4 linked regions of the Schizosaccharomyces pombe genome follow. The gene in region 1 interacts genetically with each later gene. Each region holds a gene or a part of one and is shown in the gene's direction. Other genes may lie near its edges. The genes, in order: mob1, myo2, ppa2 and cdc4.

Region 1 (2,953 bases):
AAATAACAGTTTTTTCTAGTGAGAAATGAATAGTTTGAGGAACAACCCAGCAACAATGCACGTGAAAAGTACGGAAAACAAAGAAAGAATTTCAAGTCTGTGCTTCAATCGAACAGTCGTATGCAATTTCTTAGGGCCCGGAAAATTCCCTGTTTCAAGAAGCGTATCGATAAGTTTATCTTTCTCATACCATCTTTGATAAAGCCAATCCGTAAACTGATCTTCTTCAGTGGGAATTTCCGAAATTGGGAAGCGACGAACGTGAATATGAAGCCTTTTGATGGGGACTCCTTCAAAAAAGAGCTTAGGTAAAGAGAAAGCATCGGCGGCATATTTCTTAGGAGAGGGATCAGAAAAATAAAATGTGTAATCGTACAAATAAGTCATCGAATCACGAAGCTGACTGATACTATAAAAGAGCCCTCGCACACGTGGGAGCATTAAATGCTTTGGCATTTTGACTCCAATTTTATCGGCATACACCCTGCTCCTTTGATATGTGCTTTCAACCAAGTTGGTTCCTTCTGGGAAGAGAATGAGACTGACGGAATCACGTACATTGCGAATGAACTTGAAATGACGAGACATAGTCTCGTAGTCTTTGTCCCATTTGCGAGAAAGGAAAATGAATCTAAACAATTGCATACCCCAACCTATAACTGGCAACCATTTGAGAGAGTTTTTTAACATAATATAAACATGACCATGCTGTTTAGCAGTGTACGATAACCACCAAACGTACATCCAGTCCGAGTAAAGTTGATGGTTTGCGATAACTATGTTGCGTTCAGCAGCAATTGTTTCCAAGCAACCATTTCTATCCAAATAAAACAAATTTCGAAGCTCGGGATCATAGGTGAGAGTTACAGGAGTCGGACTAAAAAGCTGGACCAAAGCGGTAAACAGAATACCGGCGAATGATTTTGTAAAAGCAATATATTTGTTATAAAGCTCCTTGTTGACAAAATACAGAGGAGTTCCAATAACTTCCGAGGTATAAATGGTAACTGAACCAACAGCCAAACATAATATGAATGAATACTTGCGAATCGCAATTCTGCATGTCATGTTGTCAAACCTAAATGAATTAAAGGAACCTAAATCAAATCTCAAGAAATAAAAGACTGTTAAATAGAATCCAGAGAAAGTTAGCAAAGTCGGTTTTAGTGATGCCCTTTCGCGTTTCTCACCGCACAGTAAAAGTCGTACACGAACACTAAATAGACACCAATTTGAGCAAAAAAAATCCCAAAAAGAAAATTAAAAGCTCTCTGCTTTCTTTTTAATTTCTTAGCCGCACGTTTAGCACCAAAGTGTAATTCAGGGAATGTCAGTGGTTATAGGCAGTGGGTAAAGAAGTAGCGATCGTACGTTGTCAATTTGTAAAAGTGCTCGGACCTAAACATACGGTCGTATGAATATGATAGGTATTCCAGTAATTAATTTGCGCTTAATATTGGTTGGCTGGATGGTCTTGAAAGTTGAACGGTAGAATGACCACGTTTGTTTACGAGGAAGGGACGATGAGTGGAAGGTTGGCACAAACCAAGCCTACCAGAACCCAACTCATACCAACTTTTTTGCATTTTCTTTCATGTTTGGATTTAGTAATAAGACAGCGAAGACATTCCGTGTAAGGAAGACTGAAGCGGGAACGAAGCATTATCAACTACGGCAATATGCTGAAGCAACGCTGGGATCTGGCTCTTTGATGGAAGCAGTAAAACTGCCCAAGGGAGAAGATTTGAATGAATGGATTGCTATGAACAGTAAGCTAAGATATAAAATTGACACTTCAAGAACTTTTATTAATTGAATACTTCTAGCAATGGATTTTTATACACAAATTAATATGTTGTATGGTACAATCACTGAATTTTGTACGGCGGCTTCCTGTCCTCAAATGAATGCTGGACCAAGTTATGAATATTACTGGCAGGATGATAAAATATACACCAAACCCACTCGCATGAGTGCTCCCGACTATATTAACAATCTGTTGGATTGGACTCAAGAAAAGTTGGATGACAAGAAGCTCTTCCCCACTGAGATTGGTGTTGAATTCCCAAAGAATTTTCGCAAAGTGATTCAGCAAATATTTCGAAGGTTGTTTCGCATTTATGCTCATATTTACTGTTCCCACTTTCACGTAATGGTAGCAATGGAGCTTGAAAGCTATCTGAATACATCATTTAAACACTTTGTATTTTTCTGTAGGGAATTTGGGTATGTGTTTCAATTTACTTACTTAAAGATGTTAACAACAAATTTCAGCCTTATGGATAACAAGGAATATGCACCAATGCAAGACTTGGTAGATAGCATGGTTTAAGAACAGTTTTGTAGTTATTCAGGAACAGGAAATGGGAGGTAAACTCGGTTCCCAAACTTACCAATTTAATGTTTTATTTTATCCCTACCATTACCATTTTATCCAGACCTTAGCACAATTTTTTATGGAAAATTTCTTCTTTTCATTTCAATCATTCACTTGAGTGATTACCATAAAGAATAGTTGCTAAAATTACTCTTTCTACTCCTCCACTTTTTTCTTATGACACTGCATTCTTTTAACTACTTTTGAAAAGTGTGGCATATCGCCTTTGCATAGGCTACTTGTGCAAAATATTCTCGCATTCTCTAAAGTGTCTATCTTCATACAATTCATTTTATTTATAACATTTCATGTATCATATGTCTCTGGAATCTTTATTTCAGGTTTCTGTTAAATACCGAAAAAGACTGCATCGTTATTTGAGAAACTACTTACTGAATGGTGGTGGATGTGAGATAGTAAATGTGCGAAATAATCTGAACTTTTTAATTCCCTATTATTTTAGTCTTTTTGCTTTTCATCTTATTTTTTTTTTTTAGTTTTGATGATCTGAGGATGGAAAGAAGGAAAGCAACCGTCCATGTGGGTAAGGATCAATGAATTCATCGTTGTTATGAT
Region 2 (7,601 bases), on another chromosome or scaffold:
TTGGTGATTCCAGTGACATTCGCGATTGGAAAAAGATCTCTAGTCAAAGACGCGTTACCCAGCTTGGAGTTGTTGAGGAATTTGATATCCTATTAGAGCTACGTGACAAAACCCTTTATGCTCATAAATTAAGTCGTATTATTGAAATGGGTCTGATCGAATCCAAAATTGCAGTTGTCATTGGAACTCCGCATGCCGTATCATTCTTTAAAATAGGTAAATTGTCTGAGGGGGCTTCTGTTAAACGTGAGCGAACTTTGGTTTTTTATAAAGAGGGACTCGGTAATACTACAACCATAATTTGCTGTGAACCAGTGATCGGCTTAGGACATAACTATCAGAAAACATATGCCTTCAAGAGAAAAGATGTTACTTCCTTCAGAACTCTGGATGATTTTCACGTAACGGCTAACTGTCATTCAATTGATTGCTTTAAGTATTCAATTGCTCTTTGTCACAATAAAGGCATTGACGTTCTGCGTTTGGACCCTAAATTAGCAGTTGGTTTTCCAAGCCCTTCAGTGCTTAATGATACGTTGTTTCGGAACCGAATCAACAACAGTAAGCCGCTTGGCGTCTTTCGCATCCACGATCCTAGCTTATTTGCATGCTGCTATCAATTCGGTGCCGTGTTTGTCAATGGAGAGGGTAGTATGGTTAATAAAGAGTGTTGGTTTGATTGGATTGGCAAACCGAACTCTGTTACCAGCTGTCATGGATATCTCATTGCATTTAATGATGAATTTGTCGAAATATGGAACACGCGAACTAGGAAACTTAATCAAATTATCCAAGGAAATGACATTAAATACTACCCTAGTAACAGTGATTGGCTAGCCAATGGGAAATATATAATGTTTGGCATGGTTCATCCTCAGTATCACGATCGCCATTTGATACTCGCTTTAAATAAGGCAAAAACAAACTCCTTCATAATTGAAGATTGATAATTATCATATTTATTACAAGTTTTCTTGCCATGATTGTCTTTTTTACTCATCCATACTTTTGAATATCGGAAACGTTTATCTTATTTTGTTTTACGGAACATCCTGCATCTTTCGAATCATATTTTATCGCAGCCTTGAAATTTTATTTCTTCTTTTTTTTTTTTTTTACATTTCCCTACCCATTTTATCACAAAGGAATATTAAAATCTGCATGCATTAACATTTTTTAATTACTTAAAATGATCGCTACTATCATTATGTTCAGTGTTAAGCCAAAATTGGCTTATTGTACAAGTTGCATAAACTTGCCGACTACAGTTGATGAAAACAGAGAACATTGTTGTTTTTTTACGTAACTGGTTATGGTATTCTGCATGTTTTGATCATAAGTTTAAAGATGTGGTTACACATTGAAGCACCATGCTTTCTTTCAAACACTAACTGAAGCAACTAACATTTCTGTATATTTACTTATTGATTATTACCAGGGCCATAGCTGTAGATGGTCAGTAAGCACATAATAATTACTGATTGCGATTATTAGCTAGAGCGTGTTCTTATAATTATTCAGTAAGAGGCATGATTAGAGTGCTATATATAAAATGTAGATAAATAAATGCCGAGTTTAGTTATTTGCTTTAAAAGTTGTGTTCGGTACGATGAGGAACATATTATTTGCGTATCTAGTCACAAATTACTCATATATCTGTAATAGCGGGAGTTTTTTATACAATCATTTTACCTAAAAGCACGGGGGAACATGAAATTTCGATTAAACCGTAACCCCTAATCCTACGTTCATTTGATGTTTTGAGTATTAGTACAATGTATTTTCAATTATTACTTAATATCTTCAATCTTGATGAAAGTAAAGCTTTAAAAATTTGTCAGGACTTTAATTGCAAAAGACCGAGTATATAATGACCTCCATCTATTAATATTATTTCTTTTAAAAGATATATATACCTTCTTAATTGTGATATTAAAATCATTATGTTATAGGAATGTTTCTGGATGCTACCTTAACCTATACTAAATGTTTTAACGCAAATATGATCAAGTACATAAACGTTCGATTAACGCATGCGTTAATCGAATGTTCAAGTGCTTAAATCATTAATTGCTGTGCGTTCAACGGGGAGTACAAAAAGTATCCAACAACATAGTTCTTTAACGTTTTCTCTGTGCATTTGTTGATCCTTCTTTTCGGATATATCTATTGCTATCTTTTTGGATTTTTTCACTCTTTGATTTTTGGTCTATCCTTATTGTTTTACAAGGTTTTGGTATTGTACACCGCATTGTTTATTTTCAGGAAAGGCGGTAAATAACCGTCTTAGAGAGTAGCCCGATGACAGAAGTAATATCTAATAAAATAACTGCAAAAGATGGTGCAACTAGTCTGAAGGATATTGATGATAAACGATGGGTTTGGATTTCCGACCCAGAGACTGCCTTTACCAAGGCTTGGATTAAAGAGGATCTGCCAGACAAGAAATATGTTGTTCGGTATAATAATTCCAGGGATGAGAAGATCGTTGGTGAGGATGAAATTGATCCGGTGAATCCTGCCAAGTTTGATAGAGTCAATGACATGGCTGAGTTGACATACTTAAACGAGCCTGCAGTCACATACAATCTTGAACAGAGATATCTCTCTGATCAAATTTATACCTATTCTGGGCTCTTTCTCGTTGCGGTCAATCCTTATTGTGGACTACCAATCTATACGAAGGACATCATTCAATTGTACAAAGATAAAACACAAGAGCGCAAGCTACCTCATGTCTTCGCAATCGCGGATTTAGCATACAATAACCTTTTAGAAAATAAGGAAAATCAATCGATTCTTGTAACTGGTGAGTCCGGCGCAGGTAAAACAGAGAATACCAAAAGAATCATCCAATATCTTGCAGCAATTGCTAGCTCGACTACCGTTGGCTCTAGTCAGGTTGAAGAGCAGATCATTAAAACGAATCCTGTGCTCGAATCATTTGGTAATGCTCGTACCGTACGCAACAACAATTCTTCTCGTTTTGGAAAATTCATTAAAGTTGAGTTTTCTTTGAGTGGGGAAATTTCGAATGCCGCCATAGAATGGTATCTTCTTGAAAAATCTCGCGTTGTTCATCAGAACGAGTTTGAAAGAAACTACCATGTTTTTTATCAGCTTTTAAGTGGTGCTGATACTGCTCTCAAGAACAAACTTCTTTTAACCGATAACTGTAATGATTATCGATATTTGAAGGATTCGGTTCACATTATTGATGGAGTTGACGATAAAGAAGAGTTTAAAACTCTTTTAGCTGCTTTTAAAACTCTTGGATTTGACGATAAAGAGAACTTTGATTTATTTAATATACTTTCCATTATTCTACATATGGGAAATATTGATGTCGGTGCTGATCGCTCTGGTATAGCTCGTCTTCTCAATCCTGATGAGATTGACAAGCTCTGTCATTTGCTTGGTGTGTCTCCGGAGTTATTTTCACAAAATCTTGTTCGACCTCGTATTAAAGCAGGCCATGAATGGGTTATCAGCGCTCGAAGTCAAACTCAAGTCATTTCGTCCATTGAAGCATTAGCAAAAGCCATATACGAAAGGAATTTTGGATGGCTGGTAAAGCGACTTAACACTTCCTTGAACCATTCCAATGCCCAAAGCTACTTTATTGGTATTTTAGATATCGCCGGTTTCGAAATCTTTGAGAAAAACAGTTTTGAACAACTTTGCATTAATTACACAAATGAAAAGTTGCAACAATTCTTTAACCATCACATGTTCGTATTGGAGCAAGAAGAATATATGAAAGAAGAAATTGTATGGGATTTCATTGATTTTGGACATGATTTACAGCCGACTATTGATTTAATCGAGAAAGCAAACCCAATAGGTATTCTTTCATGTTTGGATGAAGAATGTGTTATGCCGAAAGCAACTGATGCTACGTTTACTTCTAAACTTGATGCTCTTTGGAGGAACAAGTCGCTAAAATATAAACCTTTTAAGTTTGCCGATCAAGGTTTTATTTTGACTCATTATGCCGCTGATGTTCCTTACAGTACAGAAGGTTGGCTGGAGAAGAACACCGATCCTTTGAATGAAAACGTTGCTAAGTTGCTTGCGCAATCTACTAACAAGCATGTCGCTACACTATTTTCTGATTATCAGGAAACTGAGACTAAAACTGTTAGGGGAAGGACGAAAAAGGGCCTTTTTCGAACTGTTGCTCAAAGGCATAAAGAGCAGCTCAATCAGCTTATGAATCAATTTAACTCGACCCAACCTCACTTTATTCGTTGTATTGTTCCAAACGAAGAAAAGAAAATGCACACCTTTAATAGACCCCTCGTTTTAGGACAACTTCGATGTAATGGTGTTTTGGAAGGAATCAGAATCACAAGGGCTGGTTTTCCTAACCGTTTACCATTTAATGATTTTAGAGTCAGATATGAGATAATGGCGCATTTACCAACAGGTACCTATGTGGAATCTCGACGTGCTTCTGTCATGATTTTGGAGGAGTTGAAAATTGACGAAGCATCTTATCGAATTGGTGTTTCAAAAATATTTTTCAAAGCAGGTGTTTTAGCAGAATTAGAGGAGAGGCGCGTAGCGACTTTACAAAGACTGATGACTATGCTACAAACAAGGATCCGTGGCTTTCTTCAAAGAAAAATTTTTCAAAAGCGATTGAAGGACATACAAGCCATCAAATTACTACAAGCAAATTTGCAAGTGTACAATGAATTTAGAACTTTTCCTTGGGCTAAGTTATTTTTCAATCTAAGGCCCTTATTAAGTAGTACTCAAAATGATAAGCAGCTTAAAAAGCGAGATGCTGAAATCATAGAGCTGAAGTACGAGCTGAAAAAACAACAGAATTCAAAATCTGAGGTAGAGCGTGATCTCGTCGAGACCAACAATTCTTTAACTGCTGTTGAAAATTTGCTTACTACTGAACGTGCGATAGCCCTTGATAAGGAGGAAATATTACGTCGAACACAGGAAAGGCTTGCAAACATAGAAGATTCGTTTAGCGAAACAAAACAGCAAAATGAAAATTTGCAACGAGAGTCAGCGTCATTGAAACAGATTAATAACGAATTAGAAAGTGAGTTACTAGAAAAAACTTCCAAGGTTGAGACTTTGTTATCAGAACAGAACGAACTGAAAGAAAAACTGAGTTTGGAAGAGAAGGATTTGCTAGATACAAAGGGAGAACTTGAGTCTTTACGTGAGAACAATGCAACTGTTTTATCAGAAAAAGCAGAGTTCAATGAACAATGTAAAAGTTTACAGGAAACTATCGTTACCAAGGATGCTGAACTTGATAAACTCACTAAATATATTTCTGACTATAAAACTGAAATTCAAGAAATGAGACTGACAAATCAGAAGATGAATGAAAAGAGTATTCAGCAGGAAGGTTCTTTATCTGAGAGTCTCAAACGAGTCAAAAAATTAGAACGTGAAAATTCTACTCTTATAAGCGACGTCTCTATTTTAAAACAGCAGAAAGAAGAGTTAAGCGTCTTGAAAGGAGTGCAAGAGTTAACAATAAATAACTTAGAAGAGAAGGTTAATTATTTGGAAGCCGATGTCAAACAGCTTCCGAAATTGAAGAAAGAACTAGAATCCTTGAATGACAAAGATCAACTTTATCAGCTCCAGGCTACCAAAAATAAAGAACTGGAAGCCAAAGTTAAAGAATGTTTAAATAACATCAAATCGTTAACGAAAGAGCTTGAAAATAAGGAAGAGAAATGCCAAAATTTGTCAGATGCTTCTTTAAAGTACATTGAATTGCAAGAAATCCATGAGAATTTACTTCTTAAAGTTAGCGACTTGGAGAATTACAAGAAAAAATATGAAGGACTTCAGCTGGACTTGGAGGGGTTAAAAGACGTCGATACAAACTTTCAGGAACTTTCGAAAAAACATCGTGATTTGACCTTTAATCATGAAAGTCTTCTTCGGCAATCGGCGTCCTACAAGGAAAAGCTTTCGTTGGCGAGCTCCGAGAATAAAGATCTCTCTAATAAGGTATCGAGTTTGACGAAGCAAGTAAATGAACTTTCTCCAAAAGCATCTAAGGTTCCCGAACTTGAGAGGAAGATTACTAACTTAATGCACGAGTACAGTCAACTCGGTAAGACCTTTGAAGATGAAAAGCGTAAAGCATTGATAGCTAGTCGAGATAACGAAGAATTACGCTCTTTGAAATCAGAGTTGGAGAGTAAACGAAAGCTTGAAGTTGAGTATCAAAAGGTACTAGAAGAAGTAAAAACAACTAGAAGCCTCCGTTCGGAAGTCACCCTTTTAAGGAACAAAGTTGCTGATCATGAAAGTATACGTAGTAAGCTTTCAGAAGTAGAAATGAAGCTGGTTGATACTCGAAAGGAACTGAATTCTGCTCTTGATTCCTGCAAGAAGCGAGAGGCAGAGATACATCGCCTTAAAGAACATAGACCGTCCGGAAAGGAGAATAATATACCGGCTGTCAAAACTACGGAACCCGTTTTGAAAAATATTCCACAACGAAAGACAATTTTTGATTTACAGCAAAGAAATGCAAATCAAGCGTTATACGAGAACTTGAAACGAGACTACGACCGTCTTAATCTTGAGAAGCACAACTTAGAGAAGCAAGTTAATGAGTTAAAAGGGGCCGAAGTATCACCTCAACCTACTGGCCAATCTTTGCAACATGTCAACTTGGCTCATGCTATTGAATTGAAAGCTCTGAAGGATCAAATAAATAGCGAAAAGGCAAAAATGTTTTCCGTTCAAGTACAATATGAAAAACGTGAGCAGGAGTTACAAAAACGAATTGCTTCTTTGGAAAAAGTGAACAAAGATTCGTTAATAGATGTGAGAGCTTTACGAGATCGCATTGCAAGCCTTGAAGATGAGTTGCGCGCCGCATGAAGTTAAATGATTTTGTAATGATGAAACCTTTATTAATTATATTATATATACTGACATATACTTCTCTTATAAGTTTACGAGCTATTTTTTTATTTTTTTTATTTAACAGCTGTACATAATATTCCCGCTATATAACCAAATATACATCTTAAATTTATATCGAGATATTAGCACGCATATAGGAACTTAAATAATATTACGAATTTTTTTGTAGTAGCGGAGTAAGTATACAATAGCATTAACATGAGACGAGCATAATGTAAAAACCTAAGAGTCATCTATGCTGCACTTGAGGAAGATTGATTCTGATACTCCTGCCGATATTCGGTTAATAGAGCATCCATATCAATGTCTGAATCCGGAAAGAACTCTGTAACGAATGATTTCAAGCCTTCAATAGAAATTTCAGTTACTGCACGGGATCCAATATAATAAACAAACTGGTTATGGGTATCATCTTTCACTCTATCTAAATACCCTTGGCGAACTAAAAGAGATAACGAGCGAGTAATATCCAGATGCAAAGGGGTTGTTTCTTCCTCTGTTAGAAGTTCCTGCAAAAAAGATTGCAGTTCTGAATGTCCTACACTGCAATGAGAAACGGCTATGAATGCGATCACAGTCATCAAAAATCCATAATAAGCAGTATCCAATACCGAATCTACAATTAAGCGAGAATCCTTTTGAAGTTCCATAGGAAGGGTAGACCTCAACACCCA
Region 3 (5,923 bases), 1.8 Mb from region 1:
CCAAACCCACAAAGGACATGTCTGGTGGTTGGCGTATGCGTGTTGCACTTTCTCGTGCTCTTTTCATCAAACCCTCTTTGCTTCTTTTGGACGAACCTACCAACCATTTGGACTTAGAAGCCGTTGTTTGGTTGGAGAATTACTTAGCGAAATACGACAAAATTCTTGTTGTCACTTCCCACTCTCAAGATTTCCTCAACAACGTCTGTACCAATATTATTGATTTAACTTCTAAAAAGCAGCTTGTCTACTATGGTGGTAATTTCGACATTTATATGCGTACTAAGGAAGAAAATGAAACCAATCAGATGAAGGCTTACTTAAAACAGCAAGAGGAAATTGCTCATATTAAAAAGTTTATTGCTAGTGCTGGTACCTATGCAAACTTGGTACGCCAAGCCAAGTCGAAACAAAAGATTATCGATAAAATGGAGGCTGCCGGTTTAGTTGAGAAGCCCGAACCTCCTCGTCAATTCAGCTTTGAATTTGATGAAGTTCGCAAATTACCACCACCTATCATTGCTTTTAACGACGTTGCTTTCTCTTATGATGGTAATCTTGATCACGCTTTGTACCGTGACTTGTCCTTTGGTATCGATATGGACTCCCGTGTCGCCATTGTGGGTAAAAATGGTACCGGAAAGTCTACATTGTTGAACTTAATCACTGGGCTTTTGATTCCCATTGAAGGCAATGTCTCTCGTTACAGTGGATTGAAGATGGCTAAATACTCTCAGCACAGTGCCGATCAGCTTCCCTATGACAAGTCTCCACTTGAATACATCATGGATACTTACAAGCCTAAATTTCCCGAGAGAGAACTTCAGCAATGGCGCAGCGTTTTGGGCAAATTCGGTTTGTCTGGTCTTCACCAAACCAGTGAAATCCGTACTTTATCTGATGGCTTGAAAAGCCGTGTTGTGTTTGCAGCACTCGCTTTGGAACAACCCCACATTCTTTTACTTGATGAACCTACGAATCACTTGGATATTACCTCTATTGATGCCCTAGCCAAAGCCATTAACGTATGGACTGGTGGTGTTGTTTTGGTTTCTCACGATTTCCGTCTAATTGGTCAAGTTTCTAAAGAGTTGTGGGAAGTTAAAGACAAGAAGGTTGTGAAATTGGACTGCTCCATTGAGGAATATAAGAAGTCGATGGCCAAAGAAGTTCAATCTCGTGATACTACTGCCAAAGTTAAGCATTTGATTTAGTTAATTTATAGATTTTTGGTTAGGGAATATGTGATACATTTTGAGTAGTGGGATTAATATAAAATGTTTATTACTTATTTGAAAGTGTTTAAGAAGCGTATTGCTTTTGGTCTCATCGTTGTAATTGTCAAGCTCTATCATTGAGTGAAGCTATTAAGCCAAAATTTCATCTCTGTGTACTGTTCAAGAATTGTCGTTAAGTCCGATTTAGAGTGGAATTATCTTTTTCCACCGACTATAGGTAAACTGTACTTCTCAGCATTTATGCGTGAAACTTTATACAGCATCGGTTTTGAAAACTATGTACGCTTCTTCTCGAAAAGACTAATAATAACCCATTCTATTAAAAAATGCCAGTGAGCTCGTAATTTCTCTAGTACCTTAGAAAACGCTACACAGCAATCTCGTGAATTCACATAGTAAGCGCAAACTGTTGAGAAAAATCCAGGTTAGTAATCAATAAATAAGAAATGCAAATATTCTATATTATTAATTGTATACCAGATCGCTATGCTGTTTACACATAAAGTCGATTTGCCATAGCTTGTTAGCAAGCTGATGATACGCAAGAGTAGCCTGTCACCTCTGTAACGGTCTCAACTTACCAAAAGCAACACACGGTTAGAAAGACTTATAACTTGCTTTTTACTATATACAAAATTCCATAATTAATGTCTATAGATCCAGCAAATGATAGTAAGCTTGCTCCGGAGGCGAATGACGCTACTCTAGGAGACGTTGACAGATGGATCGAACAGTTGAAAAAATGCGAGCCTCTGAGCGAAGCTGACGTTGAAATGTTATGCGATAAGGTAAGTGAACACTAAGGAGAGTATATATGTGTATCAGGCTTGGTTGGATATATCCCAACTTTGCAAGTTCTCATTTTCTCTTGATTTCTTGAGATTGTTCAGTTTGATATGTTTGAGTTTGAACTATCCAGCTTATTTCGGTTTGATTTCTAAAAAGATTAATATTACATTAATGTCGGGTTTCTAGAAATCTCATCCTATAAATATATGGTGGTTAAAAATTACGTCGGAGACTCTCATCTATACCAGCATTTTTCGTGTTTTCGCAGTTTTTGCTAACCATTTTTTCTAGGCTCGTGAGGTTTTATGTCAGGAAAATAATGTCCAACCTGTCCGAAATCCAGTTACTGTTTGCGGTGATATTCATGGACAGTTTCATGATCTGATGGAATTATTTAAAATTGGAGGTGATGTGCCTGATATGAACTATCTTTTTATGGGTGACTATGTTGACAGAGGTTATCACAGCGTCGAAACTGTAAGTTTGCTTGTTGCAATGAAGTTACGCTACCCTAACCGAATTACGATTCTTCGAGGAAATCATGAATCTAGACAAATCACTCAAGTTTACGGATTTTATGATGAATGTTTGCGTAAATATGGATCCGCTAATGTTTGGAAACATTTCACAAATTTATTTGACTATTTCCCTTTAACTGCTTTAATTGAAGACCGTATTTTCTGCCTACATGGAGGTCTTTCCCCGAGCATTGATTCATTAGACCATGTACGGACTTTGGATCGTGTACAAGAAGTTCCCCATGAAGGTCCGATGTGTGATTTGCTTTGGTCAGACCCTGATGATAGATGTGGTTGGGGAATTTCTCCTCGTGGTGCCGGATACACCTTCGGACAAGACATTTCTGAGACATTTAATCACGCAAATGGATTAAGTTTAACGGCACGAGCCCATCAGCTAGTTATGGAAGGATTTAATTGGGCACATGATGGAGACGTAGTTACAATTTTTTCTGCCCCAAATTATTGTTATCGCTGTGGTAATCAAGCAGCTATTTTGGAAGTTGATGATACGATGAATCAAGTCTTTTTACAATTCGATCCTGCCCCACGAGAAGGCGAACCGGTAATAGCTCGAAGGACACCAGACTACTTCCTTTAAAAGTTTCAATTCTCTAATGAGTGATCAATCGATTGTGATTGTTTCAAAAAATTTATCCACCTTTCTGATTTTTGAGTTAATACTCAAGATTAAAAAGACTACTTTGTACATCCTCCGCATACGAATCTTCAGACTGTCTTTTCATTTCCAGGACTTGTCAAGTACCTTTTTTGCAAGGAAATCTTAAAATCCTTATATGTATTCCACTTCAAGCCATTGCAACCGTGTCTTATACGTACGTGAAATATTCTTGTTAATTTTGATAAGCACACTAGGATTTTTGGTTGTGGACTTATTTCTTCGAGAAATATCTGCTATTTAATATGTCGTGATAGCGATTAACGACTGCTGCATAGTTGGATGGTATTGTTTTGAGACAATATTATGAGTTAGAATTAGGCATGCTTAAGCAGTCATGTGCTGTAATGAATTAAACATCCTAAAGCTTTATGACCAAACTTTTTAAGCCAGCTTCATGATTCCATATTTGTAGAAGTTTGTCTATAAAGAACTTTTAAAGAAAAAAAATGGTTTATTTGTCTAGATATTTATTTATTATTGATACTTGTCAGATAAACCTACAATAACTACATATTTGAATTGTACAACTTTTTTATTCAAGTATAAGGGGATACTTTTGCATTTCACAAACCTTGAAGGCAAGAAGAGTACTCAAGGATTATATATATTTTTAGCGGTTTAAGAAACTACCACCAAAGGGAAAGTAAAGTTACATTAGACTACGATAAAATAAGAACCATCTGACTTGCATGAATCAGGCGTCACATACAAAATTATTGATTTACGTCTTGGAATAAGAGATTCAAGGTTGCATTAATTGAGAATGAGAAGGGGGTTTGTATCAGTAAATGACTATAACAAGAAAAAGGAAGTCTGCAATTGCCATCTTGACTGCTGTATAAGCCAAATGGACCAACAAAGGCTATGAGAAAGTGCATTGGACAAATAAAAATAAGAAGCAAGTAAGACAGCATATGACTTGATCCCCAACAGGCTAAAGAAGAAGTAAAAGAGAGGGGAGAAAAAGGAGGGAGGAAATCAGCTAGGACAAAAGTTTTTGAGCGAAATAAATTTTATCCGATGATAATTTTGCTTCCTTCAAACGTATAAGCAGGAATCGCCAAGTTAAGAGGTGCAGGACCACGGCGAATACGACCAGAGATATCATAATGAGAACCGTGACAAGGGCAGAACCATCCGCCATAGTCACCAGCTTCGCCAATGGGTACACAACCAAGATGAGTACAGACACCAATCATAACAAGCCACTCGGGTTTTTGAACACGGTCAGAGTCCGCTTGAGGATCCCTAAGAGTGCTAATATCTACAGAATTGGCTTCTTGGATTTCTTCAGGAGTACGATGACGGATAAAAACAGGCTTACCCTGCCATTTGACGACAAGGTTCTTTCCCTCTGGAATTTTCGACAAATCAACCTCGGCCTTCGACATAGCCAACACATCAGCAGATGCAGACCAACTCGCCAAGAAATCATGAACAGTAGCTTGAGCTCCAGCGGCTGTAAGAGCACCCATTGTGCCTACCATGGCATAAGATATAACACGAGAACGATCACCAGTGCTCTTTGTTTGATACTCCGAAAAGTCTGGCATTTCCGGAGAGTCAGTATATGTACGAATAGAGGTAAATTTTGGGATGGTCATCATTGAGCCCTTCAACGACGAAGCAGTGCTTGAAACGGGAAGCAACCGTCTTAACGAAGATGCTAACGACTTAGAAATAAATTGCTTGGCCAGCATTTTTACAACGTTTTAAAGAGAAACAGGTTGTTGAAATATTCGGTGGGTAGCGGTTGGGGAAGAAACGTCAAGCTGCCTCTGGTTTAAAAATGGCGGCGTTTGTGGGTGCTGTGATTTGCTAAGAAGGTTAGTTGTATTTACCGAATTCACCGATTGATGAAACTACATATCCGAAGTTCTCCGAAAAATAACGAAGTACACAATAAAAAATTAACATAATTTTACAGCTACTTTTAACGATCAGTACAGTATAGTGCTAGACTGTGCAGTACATATATCATCACGAATCGAAAATCCTATATCTTTCAAATTCCAATATTATGGTACGCTAGAGATCATTTTGTTTTATCAGATATAATTTTCCAGTCTATTTTACTAGGTTCCGTATAAGAACATAGCTGGATTTACGTTCTTCCGTCCAGCTATAAACTATTTGGAGATTATAATATTATCCAATATTTAGATGTTTACAGTAGTATCATTCATCACTTTACAAGGTACAGCACCTGCATAAAACAATACAACAGTATTAGATTGAAAATTATCGTATTCTTTCACTAGCCTTAATTATTTTAAGGAATTGGTATATATCATTAATCATAGTTCAATGTAGAAGAAATGCAATATACTTATGTATAATGTATTCATGAAGATTGGTGACATTTATTGAATATTAAGCGTATCCTTCATTAATATGCAGGAAATTTTTCTACTCTATTGAACATCATCAATTCATAAAACGTTCTATCCTCGTATTGGTGTTGCCGGCCAATATTTGATAGGTAATGCAGTAAACTTGCGAAAAATATTATCAAGTATTTTTTCTTCCTCTAAAATTTCATAAGCCGAGTAATGGAACTGGTTTTGATATATTTCGATATCTTTCAATTCTTTTAATGAGATTGGTGTTTTTGGGTTGGTTTCTGGTTTGGAAGAAACCATTCTCTCCTTGTCCAGTGCTTTTTGTCTTAATTCTTTTTCTTTTAACAATTGCTC
Region 4 (4,255 bases), on another chromosome or scaffold:
CTCACTGGCCAAAGGAATGCCAAAATTGGTAACGTCGCAATACATTTGACGAGCCATCCTAATACCCTTGTTGATAGCAAAAGAACCATCCAAGTTAGGGTCGTTGACCAAACCCTTCCATCCGATAGTAGTACGGGGCTTCTCCAAATAACAACGCATGACAACGCACAAAGCATCCTGAAGCTCGTCAGCTTTGGGCTTCAGCAACTTAGCATAGTCCATGGCCAATTTAGGGTCATGAATGGAGCAAGGACCGACAACAACGATAATTCTGTCATCTTGTTTGTTGAGAATAGCTTGAATCTCCTTTCTGGAGTCAGTGATGACTTTGCGAGAAGTTTCAGAAACAGGAATCTCTTGTTGAACCAAAGCGGCAGGAACCAAAGGGTTGTAACCTAAGACACGGTTGTCATCAAGATGCTCTTGATCGTAAGTTTCACCGCTGGGTAAAAAAACCTAATTGAATAATGTTAGCAAATTGACATTAAAAAAAAAGACCAAACATGCTGGACATAGCAATCAACATAAAGCAATAAAAATTTCAAAAAAAAGAAACAAAAAAATTTAAAATTTCAATTGCCTAAAAATTCATCAGCAAAAACAAATTTGTTATCCGCATAGTAAAATCTACTATATAACTCAATAAGATAACTTTCAGTACTGTTTCTCCGACTGATGAAAATTTTTACTAGCAAAATTCTTTGGATGCCCAATTGGGGTTACTTACCGGAGACATGGCTTATTAAATAGAATTAATAAATTTAGGTCAAAGAGTGCTTCCTAAGTTGTTGAATGCCAAGTAAGTAAACACTATTAAAGGTCCTTTACTACGACGAAGGTTGGTTCTGTCTGAGTTCGAAGCAGCGCCAACGAAAAATATATGTAGTCCAGTAATAAGATGATCCAGTGATAATGGCTCTAAGTCATCGGAACTGCGAAACAAGTAGTAGGCAATTTCTGGACATCATCGCTTAAAAATTTGTTCAAATTTATAAGTCCTTTGTTTTGTATCAATTTCTAGATTTCACTTGCTATTTAATTACTTGAAAGTAAATTGAAGGTTGAGCGTAAAAACATAAAATAAAGCCTTTTTTCGGTTTCTTATTAATTCATAAATTAATGTTAAAAGGGATTGATATATAATATTTAATAATTACGTTTCCTACAATGTTTACTGTCATGTACCACTGGGATATGAGAATATATACATTGCTTATCAAAATACTTATTTCCAAGATTCGCTCAATTATATAAACCACGCATTAAAGCAACATATAAAAACATATTGATTCGTTTATTTTACTTTTACTCAATGCATATTTTGTGAGCCCGAAAATTTAGATATACCATCTGTGACTGCCTTTTTGGTACACAAACGCCGAAAATTAGAAGTCTGGTGGACAGCGTTGGCTTTCCGGTAGATTAGTCTTTTGAGGTTAACAAGTTAATGATATCTGATATTCTGATGTGATTATTGAATTTATGAAGTGCATCAGTACTGTATTTCTCGTGTTCCGGTGACTCTCGTATTTTGTATTGCACTAGAAATAGTGAAATCGCCAGCCATTTCATAATTTATCAAGTAGCTCGACATTAGTATGACTATTCATATTCTGTATACGAATGATGTTCTAAATTAAAATCTGGCAAAGTAAATGACAATTCTGTTCATATAAGCTGGTTTACATAGCTCTACGTTCTTTAGTAAATTACTAAACAGATCGCTATACAGTAAACATTATCATGGCAACGGTTGCTATGGGGCTTATAGGTGCGTGTACACAGATTACAGTCGACTTAGTACACTTACCTTCATCCTAACAATCCATTTAGAATAGTCAAACATGTCGACAGACGATTCACCTTATAAACAAGGTAATAACTACTTTTTGAAATCATTTCAAAATGTTTATTAACGAAAAGATAGCTTTTTCTTTATTTGACCGCCATGGAACTGGTCGCATCCCCAAAACGTCCATTGGTGATCTTTTAAGAGCGTGTGGACAAAATCCTACGCTGGCTGAGATTACTGAAATTGAATCTACTTTGCCCGCAGAAGGTATGATTTCTTGTTATGGGTTTGGAGAGTTATACTCCTTAGCCGTGCATTAAGTGACAATACTAATTGGTAGTCGATATGGAACAATTCCTTCAAGTGTTAAATCGTCCCAATGGGTTTGATATGCCTGGTGACCCAGAGGAATTCGTGAAGGGCTTCCAGGTGTTTGATAAAGATGCCACTGGCATGATTGGAGTGGGTGAATTGCGCTATGGTATGTATTTATAGAGATCTATCCTTTTTTCAGATTGATAAAAAAATGCGAAACTAATTGTATCAGTTTTAACTTCTTTGGGTGAAAAACTCAGCAACGAAGAAATGGACGAGTTATTAAAGGGTGTTCCCGTAAAAGATGGCATGGTTAATTATCACGGTATGCTCTATTACTACTCTGGGCTTCGGCAATCAACTACCTATACTTAATTATACTAACTGCTTCCTTTAGATTTCGTTCAAATGATTCTTGCCAATTAATTAAATCTACATAGTTTGCATAATTTACCCGGCATATGTTTCTCCTTTATTATTTACACCTTTATTTCAATTTTATGTCTTCAATAGTTTACTTTCGTTCAGCTTTTCCATCTGATACACTTGGGACTATGAAGCAATATGTTCCTGAATACAGATAACTGGACTTTTCGATACTCGCAGGAATTTCTACACATATCGTTTAGCATACGGAAATAGAGATATCCTTCTATATTCGTATATTTATGAATATGATTAACAACCATTTGTTATCTCATGCAAATGACCTTATATCTCAGCTGCTTAAATTGTTTGAATCTCTCCAGATGTAAATATAAGTTTTCATTCAAAATTACACTTTTCGTAAGTAATTACGGTTGATGCCAGCTTTCTTGATGCATTCGGCTCCAATTTTGCCATATCGTGTATATCTTGTATATCTAATTTACTGTGTGTCAATACGATGCTTTGAATTAGATGTAGGGCTTGACACTTGATGTCGAACGAATGGCCAGAGTCAAGACAGTCCATTCTTTTGCATTTTTACATAGTGAACACAAATCATAAAGGTAAAACTTTTGGCTCATTTAGACATGCAATCATATAACCCAACAATTAGTCATTTGTTTGCTCTAAGGCCTGAGTAGCAAAATATTGAACATCAGGGTCATTATCTTTTGTAAGTTGTTCGAGCAATGGGATGATTTGCTGTTCATATACGGTCGAGTCACCACCAGCTGCCAAAACAGGCTTAAGAACTTCAAACGCCTTGGCAACGTTAAAGCGAATATTAGGAATAGGGTCATTAACCAACTGTTCCAAAGTTGGAAGAATTTGTTTTTCAATTACTTCAGCATTCAATGCAGGTGCGATTTCCTAAAATACGTTAGAACTGGAAAAAAGCAAAAAAGAAAAACTTACACTGATCGCAAAAATAGTTGTCATTCGGTATAAATAATTTGGATGGCTTCGCATAGCCAAAAACTTTGGAATAATTGTCTCAGTTGCCCATTCCAACCCAAAAATTTCCGTAAGTTTTCGCAAATTCTTTATCGCAGCTTCACGAATAGAATATACATGGTCCTCTAACCATGACATACATAAATTGCCCATTTTCTCATTAAAAAATTCGACCCCAAGCTGCTGAGCAAGTAGTGGAATGTAGTCAATGATAGCAAGACGAACACGCCATTGTTTATCTTCAGCAAGTGTAACAATTGCAGGCAATAAAGATTGTGAAAGTAATTCGATACCAACGACTAAAGTGAGTTAGTATAACTGTAGCAATAGCTATATTTTGAATTTGCAATTTACCTTTGTTTACAACTTCCAATTTCGAAATAATGTTAAGACGAACTTCAGGGTTTTCATCTTTAAGTAATTCCAAAAACATTGGTAAAAGATACTCTGTAGTCCTAAATATAACGATTAGTAAAATGAGGTTTTTAAAAGAAAAGTTATTTTTAGCAGACATACTTTTCCTTTCCTAATTGTGGGGCGAGAGCACCTATGTTCATCCCTAAAGCAGCACGGACATGTTGAGCGGGATCATTAATTAACTCTTGAATAACTGGAATAATCTCTTCAAGAACAATTCGCTTATCCAACAATTCGCAAAATCCTGGTATTTGAGTAGCAATAGCACGGCGGACTTCCTGCTCGGTATCCTTCATGAGCAGTACGAATGGTTTAATAAGTTCATCTTTAATAAGAGATGGTCCAACT

Evidence for each region.
Region 2: of mob1 (region 1) and myo2, changing one suppresses a phenotype caused by changing the other (phenotypic suppression), as found in Schizosaccharomyces pombe (one study listed by BioGRID).
Region 3: of mob1 (region 1) and ppa2, a mutation in one rescues a mutant of the other (synthetic rescue), as found in Schizosaccharomyces pombe (one study listed by BioGRID).
Region 4: mutations in mob1 (region 1) and cdc4 impair growth when combined (synthetic growth defect), as found in Schizosaccharomyces pombe (one study listed by BioGRID).

Annotation. Positions count from the first base shown.
Region 1 is NC_003423.3:468,767-471,719, reverse strand, and holds mob1 (Sid2-Mob1 kinase complex regulatory subunit Mob1), read left to right. Parts: upstream 1-1,556; 5' UTR 1,557-1,594; coding exon 1,595-1,769; intron 1,770-1,826; coding exon 1,827-2,226; intron 2,227-2,274; coding exon 2,275-2,332; downstream 2,333-2,953. Other genes in the region: mlg1 (1-acylglycerol-3-phosphate acyltransferase), read right to left, coding at 16-1,068; SPOM_SPBC428.12C (peptidyl-prolyl cis-trans isomerase E), read left to right, coding at 2,891-2,921. UniProt on the Schizosaccharomyces pombe protein: Has a role in promoting the onset of septum formation during the latter stages of mitosis.
Region 2 is NC_003421.2:1,232,731-1,240,331, reverse strand, and holds myo2 (myosin II heavy chain myo2), read left to right. Parts: upstream 1-2,095; 5' UTR 2,096-2,301; coding exon 2,302-6,882; 3' UTR 6,883-7,101; downstream 7,102-7,601. Other genes in the region: RhoGEF for Rho1, Rgf3, read left to right, coding at 1-947; Smc5-6 complex non-SMC MAGE family subunit Nse3, read right to left, coding at 7,161-7,601. UniProt on the Schizosaccharomyces pombe protein: Required for cell division. It is a component of the cdc12 'spot', a structure thought to mark the site of septation. May work in conjunction with myo3.
Region 3 is NC_003423.3:2,285,132-2,291,054, forward strand, and holds ppa2 (serine/threonine protein phosphatase PP2A catalytic subunit Ppa2), read left to right. Parts: upstream 1-1,820; 5' UTR 1,821-1,885; coding exon 1,886-2,026; exon of another isoform or gene 2,027-2,187; intron 2,188-2,318; coding exon 2,319-3,146; 3' UTR 3,147-4,240; coding exon of another isoform or gene 4,241-4,927; 3' UTR 4,928-5,314; downstream 5,315-5,923. Other genes in the region: SPOM_SPBC16H5.08C (ATP-binding cassette sub-family F protein), read left to right, coding at 1-1,214; Rieske iron-sulfur protein, ubiquinol-cytochrome-c reductase complex subunit 5, Rip1, read right to left, coding at 4,241-4,927; protein gem8, read right to left, coding at 5,672-5,923. UniProt on the Schizosaccharomyces pombe protein: Essential role in cell cycle control. PP2A may be involved in controlling the entry into mitosis, possibly acting as an inhibitor.
Region 4 is NC_003424.3:5,327,374-5,331,628, forward strand, and holds cdc4 (myosin II light chain cdc4), read left to right. Parts: upstream 1-1,814; 5' UTR 1,815-1,844; coding exon 1,845-1,875; intron 1,876-1,927; coding exon 1,928-2,059; intron 2,060-2,132; coding exon 2,133-2,273; intron 2,274-2,339; coding exon 2,340-2,432; intron 2,433-2,504; coding exon 2,505-2,533; 3' UTR 2,534-3,145; coding exon of another isoform or gene 3,146-3,406; 3' UTR 3,407-3,451; downstream 3,452-4,255. Other genes in the region: SPOM_SPAP8A3.07C (phospho-2-dehydro-3-deoxyheptonate aldolase), read right to left, coding at 1-456, 728-736; serine/threonine protein phosphatase PP2A scaffold subunit Paa1, read right to left, coding at 3,146-3,406, 3,452-3,789, 3,845-3,945, 4,007-4,255. UniProt on the Schizosaccharomyces pombe protein: Involved in cytokinesis. Required for the formation and function of the contractile ring.